Caenorhabditis elegans: one gene and its partner. The protein of the gene in region 1 purifies or fractionates together with the protein of each later gene. This does not show direct contact. Each region holds a gene or a part of one and is shown on either strand. Other genes may lie near its edges.

What was found. The genes of interacting proteins can lie anywhere in the genome.
Region 2: the proteins of unc-8 (region 1) and unc-1 purify together in Caenorhabditis elegans (affinity purification with western blotting, with the first as the bait; one study listed by BioGRID). This does not show direct contact.

What each region holds. Positions count from the first base shown.
Region 1 is NC_003282.8:7,196,858-7,204,048, reverse strand, and holds unc-8 (Degenerin unc-8), read right to left. Parts: upstream 5,618-7,191; coding exon 5,519-5,617; intron 5,314-5,518; exon of another isoform or gene 5,146-5,313; coding exon of another isoform or gene 5,088-5,145; exon of another isoform or gene 4,961-5,087; intron 4,518-4,960; coding exon 4,404-4,517; intron 3,889-4,403; coding exon 3,740-3,888; intron 3,690-3,739; coding exon 3,547-3,689; intron 3,503-3,546; coding exon 3,420-3,502; intron 3,364-3,419; coding exon 3,272-3,363; intron 3,226-3,271; coding exon 3,087-3,225; intron 3,003-3,086; coding exon 2,916-3,002; intron 2,874-2,915; coding exon 2,736-2,873; intron 2,692-2,735; coding exon 2,590-2,691; intron 2,543-2,589; coding exon 2,385-2,542; intron 2,341-2,384; coding exon 2,240-2,340; intron 2,177-2,239; coding exon 2,016-2,176; intron 1,971-2,015; coding exon 1,878-1,970; intron 1,834-1,877; coding exon 1,716-1,833; intron 1,344-1,715; coding exon 1,200-1,343; intron 1,154-1,199; coding exon 1,014-1,153; intron 878-1,013; coding exon 782-877; and 3 more. UniProt on the Caenorhabditis elegans protein: Sodium permeable non-voltage-sensitive ion channel. Involved in the activity-dependent removal of selected presynaptic proteins, such as synaptobrevin snb-1, and Ras-related rab-3, in the remodeling of GABAergic motor neurons.
Region 2 is NC_003284.9:1,056,987-1,064,212, reverse strand, and holds unc-1 (Band 7 domain-containing protein), read left to right. Parts: upstream 1-1,759; 5' UTR 1,760-1,769; coding exon 1,770-1,835; intron 1,836-3,527; coding exon 3,528-3,641; intron 3,642-4,794; coding exon 4,795-4,919; intron 4,920-4,977; coding exon 4,978-5,251; intron 5,252-5,927; coding exon 5,928-6,142; intron 6,143-6,306; coding exon 6,307-6,382; 3' UTR 6,383-6,726; downstream 6,727-7,226.

The DNA.
Region 1 (7,191 bases):
CTTTGTTCTAGTAAATTTTTTATGTTTAAAAAATTCGTTGCCACGAATTGATTTTTTCGATAGTAAATAATTCTTTAAGATAATTTCAGTTCACGTTTTTTTCAAAACAATCGTTTAAAAATATTTATTATTCCGGAACAAAATTCTTCAAATTTTTTAAACATCTCCGAATTCTTTCAGCCCGCTTCTTCTAAAATCCATAATATTTTTCTAAAGATTTCTAAATTTTCGCCCCCTGTCGAATTATCAAGAATTTATAAAGTTTAAACAGACTGTTATGAAATAATTTTTCAAATTAAAAGAATCTAATTTGTTCCGAGCAAATGTTTCAACCTTTTTTGCATGATATCCTCTTTTTTTTATGATTTAGCATAATTAAAGACATTAATATCTTTTAAATATTTATTCATCCTATACAAAAAAGTTTCTGCTATTCAAATGTCAGTCATAAAAAATGCTCAAAAAAGAAAGACAACAATTTACAAAAGTCTAAAATATAATTTACCCGACATCAAAAACTGATAGAAATTTAGTGGAATTTTTATTGTAACTATTTGCTCATTAACTCCTTTGTTGATTCATTTGTTGAAACTTCATCTTCTCCTGGTTGGCTTTTTTTAGGCGATCGTTGAAGAAAATCAATGTGCATTAATGAAGATGATGTGTATTCTTTTCCTTGCATCTTTTTCTGTACATAGACTATTCCTTTGAAATACATTAGTTTGCAGATCTGTAATTCAATATTCTTTTGCGTCAAACTATCTAATAAGTTTCTTCCAACCTCGCAGAAAAGTTCTGCAAATTCAGCAAACGTAATGACTGAAAATCCAATCCATAATCCAATATTACCTCCAAAATCTGAGAAAAGATTGACGAGCTGAAATATTCAAATGTAGCTGATCTTTGAATAGATAATTCTATGAAGTTTGAACTATTGATATAAATAATCCGATTATTTCGTTTTTTCTCCGAAAGTTTCATAAAACATGAATTTTAAAAGTACTAGTACTGACCGTGTAACCGGCGGTTTCTTTCAGCGATTCGAAATTCAATTGTTCGTAGTAAATTTCAATGTAAGCAGTGTTTTGACGATAATATTCGGTACAAGCTTCAGTGTCGTTGAAAATATCTGATACGGCGGGGCAGTCGGTACCTGAAATTATGTGGTAGAGAAAGATATGAGTCATAGAAAAACCAACCAATTTTGAAATTTTGACTGGGCCATGCAGATGCAGAGTAAGCAGTCTCAAATACTTTTTCATGACATGGCTGACGACATTCACATTGTTCGTGTAGATGGTGGTAACCTCCAGAGTCACTTGTTAGGTTTGATAAACATTGACCTGAAAAATACATTTTTTGAAAAAAACATGTTTCTACAAAATTGAAGTATTCAAGGATTCAATATTTGACTTTTTCTTCATTGTGGTAAATTCGATAATGAGGAAAAGTTCCAAAACTTGTGCAACTTATGTGTTCCCATTTGGCACTCCGCTCAGTTGGTGCTTGGCTGGGTGCCTCTTGGGTTATGTTTCTGTGATTTTCTCCTTTTTAAGGCGTCTTCTGGGTAACTGGTAAGAAAGCGAAAAAATATGGAGGAGAGATGCTCACTGTAGAATCAGTAGATTTTTTAGTTAATAAAATGCTATTTATAACTTTTCTGTTTCGCCGAAATTATTTCTAATTTTCTTAATGTTTTAATGAAAAAAACTAACGATCAATTTTTGACTTCGCATTACAATGTCTATGCTCTTCAGATGGTAGAGGGAATCTTGGATCTCCACATCCACATATTTCAAGTACTTTCAATTGGAAACAATTTCGATGGCAACCCTAAAAATATAAATGTTTGATTAAGAATGGGAAATGTTACATACTTCAGGAGAATAGTGTTCGTTGTAAATGTATGGAACCGGTCGGAATGTGTCACTGCAATTCCCCCATGGAGCACTGAGACGATGTAGTTCTTTCTGAAATCGAACTCTGCAAACAGATTCTCAAGAGTATTTAAATACCGTTTTAAGACCAAATGAAGAAATGAATCCAGTTGGAGCACTGTATCCAAATGTATCAGGGAACGGTTCTTGATCTTGTTCATGGACAACTAATCGAACACCTGCTGCTTCTGTTGTTGGCATGTAATCGCTTTGATGCACGTTTAATAATAGACGGAGACCTTTAAACAATAAATTGTTTGGTTATCTAATGCATTGAAAACACAAGCTTTTGAAAAACTTACCATACATGGGACCAGCTCTACTGTTTTTCAACTCCACCGAATCATTGAAGTTAAATGTGTAGCAATTGCCGTATTCAGGATCAACGTGAAGTTTAAAGTCACTTCAATTTCAAGATTTACATGACATTTAAAAGAAAACACTTACCGCTCCATACTACAATCCTTCGAATTAAACGAACATCGAAGAACAAACTCATTGAGGGTGTATGACAGGTTCCTTCTTGTTTCACGGGGTAAAGCAGCCACTAAGAAAATTAAATTTTCTTTTGTTTGAGTTGTGATGGCTCCCGCATCTTTGAGGTCCTGAAAATTATCCTATGAATAGAATATTCCATTGAGAAATGTCTTACGCTCAATCCAAAAGCTTCTTCGGTTTCAGTTATTTCTGTGGTCGGTGGTTCAGTTACAGAATAAACTGTATAATTGTTTGGGTTCCACCATCGGATTTCGTCCTAAGATTTTGTCAATTTAATTCGGAAAAAAGTTTCAAACTAACCTTTGGATGTACCATACAATGATGAGAAATTGATTGGCAAAGACATGGAAGTGGACTGTTATGTTTTGCGATTTGCTTTGAAGCATTAGGACCATCCGGGTCAGGACAAGTATTGGAAATTGAACAACCAGAACATTTCTAAAACTAAAATTAGAAATGATAAACGGAGAGTTATCATACTTTTACAGTCCATACGGAAGTTGGGTAGCATGGCCAGATTAAGCCACGTGTCACGTCTTCAAAGCACATACAAATTGAGGCGTTAACCTGAAAAATTATACATTTTTAAATAAAAGTCATCTAGCAAATTTCAACTTGATTTGCAAGCTGTTTTCAAATAAATATTCCAACCTCTAAAGGATTCCTATTTGGTACACATTGTTCCATATTCATACAGGTGCATCTCACAAAGACTGGCTGATACACTGCACCCTCTAAGTCTTCGTCATCAATTGGAAAAAGTAATTGATCTCGACTTTTTGATCGCTTTCTGGAAATATTTTACAAGTTTACGTTGTGTACATCTTATCACTTACTTCCTGACACTGATTGCTTCTAGAATATCACCTCCTGGCTTCATACTGTCACTCATCATTCGAGCATTTATCACCCGTTCCCAATAGTCAAACTGAAACACCAAATTCAGATTTTCAGAAATTCCAATAATTTTATATGAAAACTTACACCCTCTTTAATTTCTTCATACTGCGTGAGCTCGCTATATTTGAAAGCATTCAAATTGCAAACTGTTGCAGCGGGAAATGCAGCTGAAAATAAATTATTTTAGATAAATAAATGTTGATTAATTTACCAGCTTCAAACTGCAACTGCATTTCAATAATTGTCCTATACTGCAAATATTCTGACATTGTCCAATAGGTTTGTAATAAGAATGCCATTAACATGCACATGAAGAGTGCCGCCCATACATATCGGCCAAAAAATGAAGATGTTCTGCAAAATAAGCATTTTCAGATAAATACAAAATGAAAAAAAAACCGTACGCAACATATGGTATTCCATGGGAAGAAGTTCTGGCACAAAAATCAAACCAAAGGGATTTTATTGTTGTTGTGTGATAGTCTATTTTTTGTGATCTTAACGATTTCCGGGATGACGTTCGGCGTTCCGAGTAGAGAGCTGATGCATGAAGCTGAAAAAATGAGTTGAAATGTTTTGGAAACATCATTCAAATTCAAGCAAAGAGTATACAATAGTAAAATAATTTTCATTGATCCTATATTTTTGAAAACAATTTTATTGTGATCACCGAAGATTCGAAATTATTAGGGCCCCATTTACTAAATAAACCACTGAAAACCTTGGCAACTTCGTATATTAGAAACATGACAAAAATAATTTAATAGAAAAATATGTGTAAAGTTATACTTTTAAGAACGAATTGCGTCGTGTTCCACTAGTAAAATGAGAAATGGACGACATTCTGATAATGCTCAAAAATGTAACATCTTTTGATTCATAACATCTTCCTAATGCTCAAAATAACAACGATAATTTTTTTTAAAGAATAGGCGAAGCAAAACTTAATATCTGTTGTATTTTCCTTTCTTATTTCGATGACAACCCGCAATTTTGAATCAAAAAAATCTCGGTAAGAACGAAAAAATGAAACAAAAGTTTGAAAACGTAGCTTTGAATAAAACTCACTTTTGACCTGTCATCTTCCTCTTCAAAGTGTGGATGAACTCCTCCAGCGTATGGAGATGGTCTAATATATGGACTTGACCTGCTCTCCATTGATTCTGGTTCATGGACGAGTCTCTGCAATAAAAATATGAAGGAAATATTTCATAGTGAAAAGCTGGAATGTCTTCAACTGTAGCATGCTTATGCAAAACTTTTGAAGATACTAAACAATATTGTTGAGAAAAAATGAGAGCAAGCTCTTGAAAAGCTTGTATTAGGACGCCGTGTGGCCCCGGAGTCCCCACAATATAAGCTTATCTAAATGGGAATCTTGGTTTCAAATGTTCAAATCTACTCTCTTTTATCTTTTTCTCCTATTATTCAGTTGACATTCTTTTGGGTGGATCAGGAGGATATGCTAATTTCATAAAGGACCGAGTAGAGAAGAATTCATCAAACAGGGTTCATTTTAATAAAATTGTATGTATTAAACGAAAAAAAGGCGGGAGCTATAAAAAATAATAGTCAAATAAATTTAGGGTTTAAACTTTATCTATTACTCTAAAATAATAGTGTGAATTATTAAAATTTTGAAACAGATAGATTCAATAAATGTAGAAATGTGTTGCTCTGAAAACAAAATAAACGACAATTTAAATAATTTTAAAGATGTTTTAAATTCAATTCTATAACAAAAATTAATACTGTTCCTAACCAGAACTTAACTTTATTTTTTAAACATAAAATTGTGTACCACCTTGAACTGAAAATAGTGTCAACTTCAAAAATTGTGTGACATGAAACAAAAGCTTGGGACACATTTTGAAAAAGGAAAGTCCTCTTCCTGAGGGATCAACTGAAAGACAATTGGCCTCTCTTGGGATCATTGCATGTCGTATTACTCTTCATTCTTTTTTTGGTCTTGCCGCGATTTCCTTCTTGGTTTTTTGTCAAAAGACGGGGGTTTTACACGAATCTGCGATTAGCTTCACTTCGGGGAACTCCCAATTGGGAAATTTATTACCAAGGTTCCTATTTTTGGATTAAAAGTGGTTATTGGTTTTGGGATAATTTTTGGTTATTGTTTGGAAAAAGAATTTACATTTACCAATAGTATGACTGAAAATAGAAGTTACCTGACACATATCAAGTTCCACGTCAGCAAAGGTGACATTTTTTCGAATTTTGTGCCGAATTGCATCCTTGCGACGTGGAAATGTATATTTTGGAATCATAAAGTGCACAGACTAACGGATTCAAAATTTTGACAAGAGACGAAAAGTAGACGAGGGGATTGGAAGAGAGTCATCTATCTTTTTGTTGCTCTGAGAGCCCATCCGCAATTAGATGTATATTGTTGACGTCTCTGTTGGACATCTTCTTACTACAGAAATTCAGAAGAGACTTTGAAAATAAAAGATCGAAAAGTGTAGTTTTTAGAAGTTCAAACTACCGGAAATGCTCCCAATTTTATCAGCTTTTGACTTGAAGTTTTTAAATTTGTTTTCCGTTTTTGGTTTTAGTATACGGTGAATAAATTTTGAAAAAAAAAGAACTCAAACAAATATTCAGGCTTTTTCTAGGAAGGCACAAAATGTCTGCCTGTAGTGTGCCTATACCTGTTACTAGAACAGGATAAATTAAATTTTATGATTAATGATTCGAGTAAAGCAACTGATATTGAACTTTGACGTTCTTCATGTGGTTATTCTAATAATTTTGCAAAATTTATTTGAATACACTTTATGAAGTCGCAACTGTATTAATTTTAATACATATATTTAGTTACTTCAATAAGGCAAAACGGGTATTTAAATGCGCTTCTTAACTTTCCTACACTATTTGAATAACCCATTATTCATTTATGAACTTGTACTGAAATTCCAGTACACTTCTTTTCATTTGTAATACTTTTAAAAATTTGTATTTGTTTTAATTGGAAACAATTTTCAAAAGATATAGTTTATGAAAATCTGTTCAAGTTTTCATTCTCACCTCATCAAATTCAAATTCTTCTTCATTCTCAATAAGTTTATAACAACAGGGTCGCCGACAGAGATGAGTGCGATGTTTTAGAATTGGAGAAATCATTGGTATAAATGAAAAAAGAAAAGCCTTCCATGGGGATATGGGGATTCATCAAGTTTATGATATTCCATAAAGCTTTATGAAATTCGGAAAACAGTAATAAAATTTGATTTGAGTATTCACTTGACACTAGTATTAACTCACTTTACTCTCTGATGTGGCCGATACAAGTCTTTCTGGAGATCCTTTTGTCTGTAAACTTTTTAAAGAAAAAACTACAGAGTTTCTATATTGTTTCAAATGAATTTACTGTATCTGGATTAAAACTTAATTTTTAAAATTTAAAACTTCTATGGGGACACAAAACTTATAACTACCGTTTCAATCCAGAAACAAAATTCTCAAAACTAATTCAAAATATTTATTTCAAAATAATCTTACCATTCGTGATGCTGTACTCATACTTCCACTACTCCTTGCGCTCATCTAAAATAGAAAAATAAATGTCAATAAGAATTTTTAGAAGAGAGAAAGGTGCAGAAGTAGGCAGAAAAAGAATAAGGCAACATTCAAAATGTCGTTGGTCATTCCATTGTGTATTGGAAGAAATGTTGGACTTATTTCCGGTATAAAGGTGAAAAGTTTTGAAGAAGAAGCAGAAGAGGGTGTAGGAGAATCTTGCTCAAAAATTAAGGAATTTATTCACTGAGATTAGTTATTTTCCTGAATCGGTATCAATTTCAACCTTTTGGATTAATTTTTCTAATTGTTATTTTTTTTA
Region 2 (7,226 bases), on another chromosome or scaffold:
CGAAGGAGCAGAGAGAGGGAGAGATGTGCTCTCCCTACATCGATTGTGCTCGAGACGACGTGTGCTCCCCGCGGCTTGGGGAGTGGCTGGCATGTGGGCACGCTTTTCTTTTGGGGGCCTCCATCTTGCTTTTATTACTACGAGCTTTGTCTGCAAAACGAGAAACCACAACAATTTGGTTTTCTCACGCGAGTGGAGCCTTTTTCGATTCTTCTTTCTATCATTTTTTATTTCTTCTCCCACCCCTTTCCTCTTTTTTTTTCTCTTTCCTATTCATTTTCGATTCAATAGACTCTTAGGGTCCCTTTGCTCAAGCGCAACCGCAACATTGATGATCTTTCACTCGTTTTCCGCTCTTTTTTGCCACAGCTCCCCATTTCTTTCAAGTTTCTGTGAAATAGTTACATATCCTTTCAGTTTACATCTTGATCAACATGGATCAGCAATGTTTCCTAATTAAAAAAAAAATGTTTCAGTTTGCTTATTTTTTAAACTCAAAAATATAATTCTTGATATTTTGTGTCGCTGTTCAACGATTTAACTTTGCTTAAAGTAATATCAAAAATGAGATAATCTTCATCGTCATAAATTTTTTGAAAAACCTTTGTCAGAGATTGAAAATGGGTCAGTGCCAATATCATTTTGGTCAGTGCCTGTATCATTTTTGTCATTGCCATTATCATTTGTTCAGCGCATTTATCATCTTGGTCAGTGAAAATTACCTAATTAAATTTATTGTTTTCCAAAATAGTAATGCATTCAAATTGAAAATAAAGTGGTGATATTTTCTTTAGTATTTTCAATTTCAAGAAGTATGTATGCACATGGAGACCCACCTGCCAAATAACGAGAAGTTGCTTGCAAATTTGATTTTTTTTTGGATTTTTAGCTAGGAATTCATATGATTATGATTGCTGTAATTTTTTCTTTGCGTTTTCTGTTGGTGATATTGTTTTTCAGTGTTTCCAAGTTCCATACTCCTTTTTTCATATAAAAATGTTTCAAAAACATAACCTAACAATTTAGACTCTAGTTTTTCAATGCAGATTTGATTTAATTTCAGTACTTTCAAACGAACATTATCGTGATTTATGTTTTTCGTTTCAAAATTTTCGTTCTTATTTCATTCGCCGCCAAAATCAGTAAAAGTATCTTTAGTCGCTTAAAAAAGTAAAAGTAAAAACAGATTCATCCACTTTAGCCGTCAGCTTGAAAGAAAAAAAAATGCTATCCTCTTTCCTTCGTCAACTCTTCGTCCGTATTTTCTTCGCCTCTATTTTCTATTCTGCCTCTCTCAGCTTTTTCGCTCCGAAGCTCCCTCGCCAAAGTGGGTGGAGCATAGGAACTGCAGAGGGGTCCCCCTTCTTTCTCCCCTATTGAATTACTCTGAGCTGCGAAGCGTAGCTCATGGTTGCCCAAAGTCAATTCTTTCTCTCTAGTCAAATGGAAGTTTTTTTTCTTTTTTTTTCTTTCATCTTGTTCGTCTTTTGAAAAATGTATAACTGAAACATAATATAAAAATTAATTAAAATTCGAAAAAACGTCCTTCCCAATCATTTTTCAGGCACTGACAATATTTGAATTTGCACTGACAATATTTGAAGTTGCACTGACAATATTTGAATTTGCACTGACAATATTTGAATTTGCACTGACAAAATTAGTTTTTGCACTGACCCATCAAGAAACAGTTTATTTCTTATATTTTCCGTTCTTTTTTCTAAACTATTTTTTTTTAATTTTAACCGTCCTAAAAGTTTTCCAGGTAAATGTCAAACAAGGAAAGAACAGAGCCTCAGTGGGTAACGCCGTCGTCAAATCAGGTATCACAGCAAGTGCGTGTTTCACTCACATTTTTCAAACTCCCCCCTCACACGTCTAGTCACAAAACCCCTCCCTATCTGATCTGAGCATAATCCAAAAAAAATACTGTTGGCATTAACCATCACTCACATCTATTCTATCCACGCTTTTTGAGCATGCTTCTGCTGTTGAGCAGAGTAACCGTTCTGTAACTCACAATGTTGTCGCTTTGTTATTGTCTTCTTTCACACGTGAATATTAACGATTTGGGAATTGGAAAAAAAGGAAAAGGAAGAGAAAGGACTCGCGACACCAACAACAAAGAATTATTCTGAATAAGGGCTGTGACGAGCAGGAAGTAGTGTAATTTTTAATTGGACGGTTTTAAGAAAAGTGTTATTTTATTCATAAGTTCTTTTTAGTTTGTTCGATAGTTGAATTTCATGAATTTTGCACTTTATAGATAATAGTGCATATCAGGGCTGTTTTTTGTTTAAAAAACAAGTACTCGTGTATTAAAGATGGAATACAGTCAGTGGGAAATTGCTTTAAATACACTTAAAATGGCCATTATAATATTAAAAAACTTCAGACATTTCTTTAGATTTAAAAATTTTTAAAATCAACTTTTTAGTAAATTTCCAGAAGAAAAGGACTTTTTGTGAAATTGAAGAGTTTCTGCGAGTTAAAACAAAATAATTGAACTGTAATTAGAATACACAACTTACATTAAACAAAAATCATTTTTCGGGCGATTTTCAAAATTATGATCGGTGTTTGAGTTTTTACCATTTTTTGACTGCACATAAAAAACCAAACAAATTTCTTCCAATTTTATCATTTACTGTTTAAAAAAATTTTCCCACTGACTAAACTCCACCATTAAACATGATGTGATTGTTTTTCTTTAAACTATGAAATCGATGTTTCTAAAACGTTACAGTACACAAATACCAAAAAGTTGTGCCACTATAGTTTTTTAACTGAAATTTTTTTTAACTTTGAGTTTTATGTTTTCAATACACTTCAGTATTTTCCAGAAAAAAACTTACTCAAGCTTAATTTGTCGATTTTAAAATTTTCCAAAAAAATGTAAAACGATTCTCATTAAGTCGACCAAATCAAAAATGGAATTGGATTAACAGATTGAAAAAGTATATTTCCTTATTAAAAGCTTAGTTATTTTTTGTTAATTTTTGAATTAATGATACAAAATTTGGCTTTTTTAAGAAATATTTTCACATTCCCAAAATAAAAATTTTAAATTGAGAAACTTCAATTTTCAAATTTTCATATTTATTAGTTGTTTTTTTTTCTGTTATGGGTGGGATTCTAATTTTGCTTCTCATTCATTTTCCTTGGCGTGCAATTTTTATTTAATTAGCCATATGTACTTTTATACACGCAACAACAAGCACTTTATCAAAGGGCACGTCAAAAGTTCTCGCAAATTCTCAATTTACTTCGCTTTACGCTCAGAATAATTATTTTTCCCTACGGAGAAAAAGAGTCGCCCTGGGAAAGAAAGGGTAAGTGGGGGAGGGGGGTACATTTTAAATGTGCTCTTTTCTCTCTATCTCAGGCCAAGTTGATTTATGTCTCGAGTCCCTTTTCCTTTTCTTGAATACCCGAAGATTCCAATACTTTTTGCATTCCATCAAAATTTGGAGTAAAATATGGAATCGATATGGAAAAATCTTGAATATTGATAATTAACTTTGCAGGATGTGCCACCTGATTACGAGACGATTGGCACAATCTTCGGTTATGCGTTACAAGCTCTTTCATGGATACTTATTATTGTCACGTTTCCATTTTCCATGTGTGTATGCTTAAAGGTTTGTTTTTTCTTCCAATTATCTAATGAAAAAGTTTTTAATTTTTCGGGGAAAAATTTAAAAGAAGTTGAGTGTTTTTAAAGGTGGATTTGGTGGGGGAAACGAAACCCATAAACGCCGTTATTTAAAAAATGGTCAATTTAAAAATAGTCAGCTTTTTAATTTTTTCCCCCAAAATGGTATTGATTTCATTTAACAATTTGACATCAACATTAATAAAACATTAAGATCACGTAAAATTGTGCTAAAAACGAAAATTTTCACGATTTTTCTAAACTTCACATACTCGAAAAAAAAACTATGATAATTAATTGGCAAAACAACTTTGTATAAAAAGTTAGTTGAAAATCAAACACAACTTTAAAAACGTTTCTTGTTTACTAAATTCAATCAAAAATAATTTTCTGTGTAAAAAACGTTTGTTTGAAGTTTCAAAGCGTAGATTGTAACTTTTTCGATTTTTACTGATTTAACAATATTCAATTTGATGGAAGAGTATGATGATCTGATTATTTTGTTTTCTTAAAAATTAAGATTAACAAATATAATTGTTTAAAAATTTTTCTGTCTCACAGTTTTCAATTTTGTTCAATTTTCCCAACAAAAAAAAATCAAATGGCTAATTAAACAGCGCCCACTTTTTTGGGTTCTTAGATTTTTGGGTTTTTGGTTGTTATTTTCTGATCTAATGTAACGTAATGTAATAATGTAATGTAATATAATATAACGAAATAACTGAAGAAAAAAAATAGAGCCATTAACTAAATACTCCAAAAATGTGGGCATTGCCTCGTTCAGAGCAAAATACCAATTAACAATAAAACTGACCAATATTCTAATTGCCCTGACCAAAACTTTAATTGCACTGACCACAAATCTAACTGGATTAACTGAAAGTTTGAATGCACTGGTCAAAAATATTTTTTGCGCAATGCAATATTCAAACTGCACTGATTTTCTGACCTGGGCTCACTTTTAAGTCAAACAGCGACATTAATCAATTTTCTTTAAGAAGTAGAAAACTTGGGGTTCAAAGTTATTTATTGATTGTTTTTATTCAAAAATCTATCAAATTTTCAAAACACAATCGATACCTTTTTTTGGAATATATTAACTCCAAAAGTTCCTAAAATGATACATTAATGATTTCCAGGTTATCAAAGAATACGAGCGAGTTGTAATCTTCCGTATCGGTCGTTTGGTGTTTGGAGGAGCTCGTGGTCCTGGAATGATCTTCATCATTCCCTGTATTGATACTTATCGAAAAATTGATCTTCGGTATGATTTGACTTAATGTCTCGAAGAAACGTTTATGATTATTATTATTCTCATTTAGTGTTGTCTCGTACGCAGTTCCACCGCAGGAAATCCTGTCAAAAGACTCTGTGACTGTATCCGTCGACGCCGTTGTCTACTTCCGTACCTCCGACCCGATTGCTTCCGTCAACAATGTTGACGATGCCATTTACTCCACCAAACTGCTAGCGCAAACTACGCTGAGAAACGCTTTGGGTATGAAAACTTTGACTGAAATGCTCACAGAACGTGAAGCCATTGCTCAACTTTGCGAGACCATTCTTGATGAAGGAACTGAACATTGGGGAGTTAAGGTGAGATTTTTTTTCCCAAAAGTATAATAAACTGATCACTCAATGCTCATATTTGGGGCTCCTTCGCCAAATAATACTAAAACTGAGAAGCTCAATAAAAACAATTTCGTAACCCAAACAAACACACCGATTAGCCTCCAGAGAGTTAGTAGTTATTTTGGGGATAAACAAGTATGTTTTGTTGGAGAAATACCCAGAAATCTCGACGAACGGGTAAATATGATGGGCAGTAGTTTTAAGGGGTGGAAGTTTGACAAAAAAAAAAGTTTTTGATAAAGTTTCTGGTTTCTAAAATAATTACAAGAATGAAATGTTTTGCTTTAAGTTTTAATTGCACTGACCAAAACTTCAATTCTACTGTCTAAAGTTCTATTTGCACTGACCAACACTCTTATTGCACTGACCATTATTCTAATTACACTGACCACAACTTCAATTGCACTGACAAAATTTTGAATGCACTGTTAAATTGAAAAATTTGCGTAAAACAATATTTTAACTGAACGGACTTTCTGCGATTTGCCAAACTAATTCACACTCAAAAACTTCTTCTTTCTTGAGAAAACATTTATTTTTTGTCGCAAAAAAATATAGAAAATCTATCATGTTACTTTTTTTTTCAAATCTAGTCAATTTCATGTCTGACAATTCAAAGCCATCAATCATTCCATTACAGGTAGAACGTGTGGAAGTGAAGGACATCCGTCTCCCCCAACAACTCACACGTGCCATGGCCGCCGAAGCCGAGGCCGCGCGTGAAGCTCGAGCCAAAGTTGTCGCCGCCGAGGGAGAGCAGAAGGCGTCACGGGCTCTCAAAGAAGCGGCCGATGTCATTCAAGCGAACCCAGTTGCTCTTCAGCTTCGTCACTTGCAAGCACTCAACAGCATTGCGTAAGTTGCCACACTTCTCGAATAAATTTAATTTCGGTGAGAAGAGAGATGCGTGCTCTTTTGGATTGAATTTCGAATTAGTCACCAACTTTGAATTGTACCAATTTTTGAAACTATGGAAAATCGTAGAGGAACCGAGCTATCGCTAATCCAATTTTTTTCAGAGCTGAGCACAATTCTACAATTGTTTTCCCCGTACCTGTGGAAATGTTTGGAGCATTTATGAAAAAAGACCAATAATCATATTTTCCTTTTTTTCTCTATAAATGCTGCACCTTTTGAAATTTGGATCCCAGATAGTGCATTATTAATAGATCAATCATTTGTATTAATTCAAAGTCTATATACATACAATTATCTTTCAAATAGCCTTTATCCTACCAATACTTTCCTAAACGTTCTCGATTTGCACAAAAAAAAACCAGCCAAACAAAACACAAAACTCTCTAATTTCCCCCAAATTCCGATTTGCAACTGTCATTCAACCCGATCATGTATTTTCTGAACTTTTTTTCAAAATTTACGAAACTCTAGTTCTTCTTATTTTTCATTTATATATTCATGAATAAATCAGTTATTTATTATGTGAAAGTATCAGAAAAAAATTAAATTTTCTGTGAAATGTTCAGGAAAATATATCATGGAATTTTTGAATACCACAAATGAGCGGTATCACAAAACTAACAAAAAAAAATAAATATAAAAATAAAAAAACCGTTTTTTTTTCTAGAACTGTATACTTCAAAGGTTTTTGAGTTTTTGAAGTGTTTTTCTGGCAACAATCTAAAAACTTTTTCATCCTTGGTTAAGAAACTTAAAGTATTAGTGCAAAGTATAGAAAATTACAAAAACATTTTCCGGAATGGCATTAAAATTTTGGCAGGAATTCAAACTTCTTTAAAAAATTGTGGTCATTAATTCAAAAATTTCAAAAAAAAAGTATGGGTAAGAATTCAAATTTTTCCGAGAAGTTAGGACAGGAATTTTTTTCTAAAAGTGATTTTTATTAATTTGAGATTGCCTGAAAAATATTGATCTTGACATTTATAACATTGGAAAATTGGGATTTCTAATTATCAAAAGC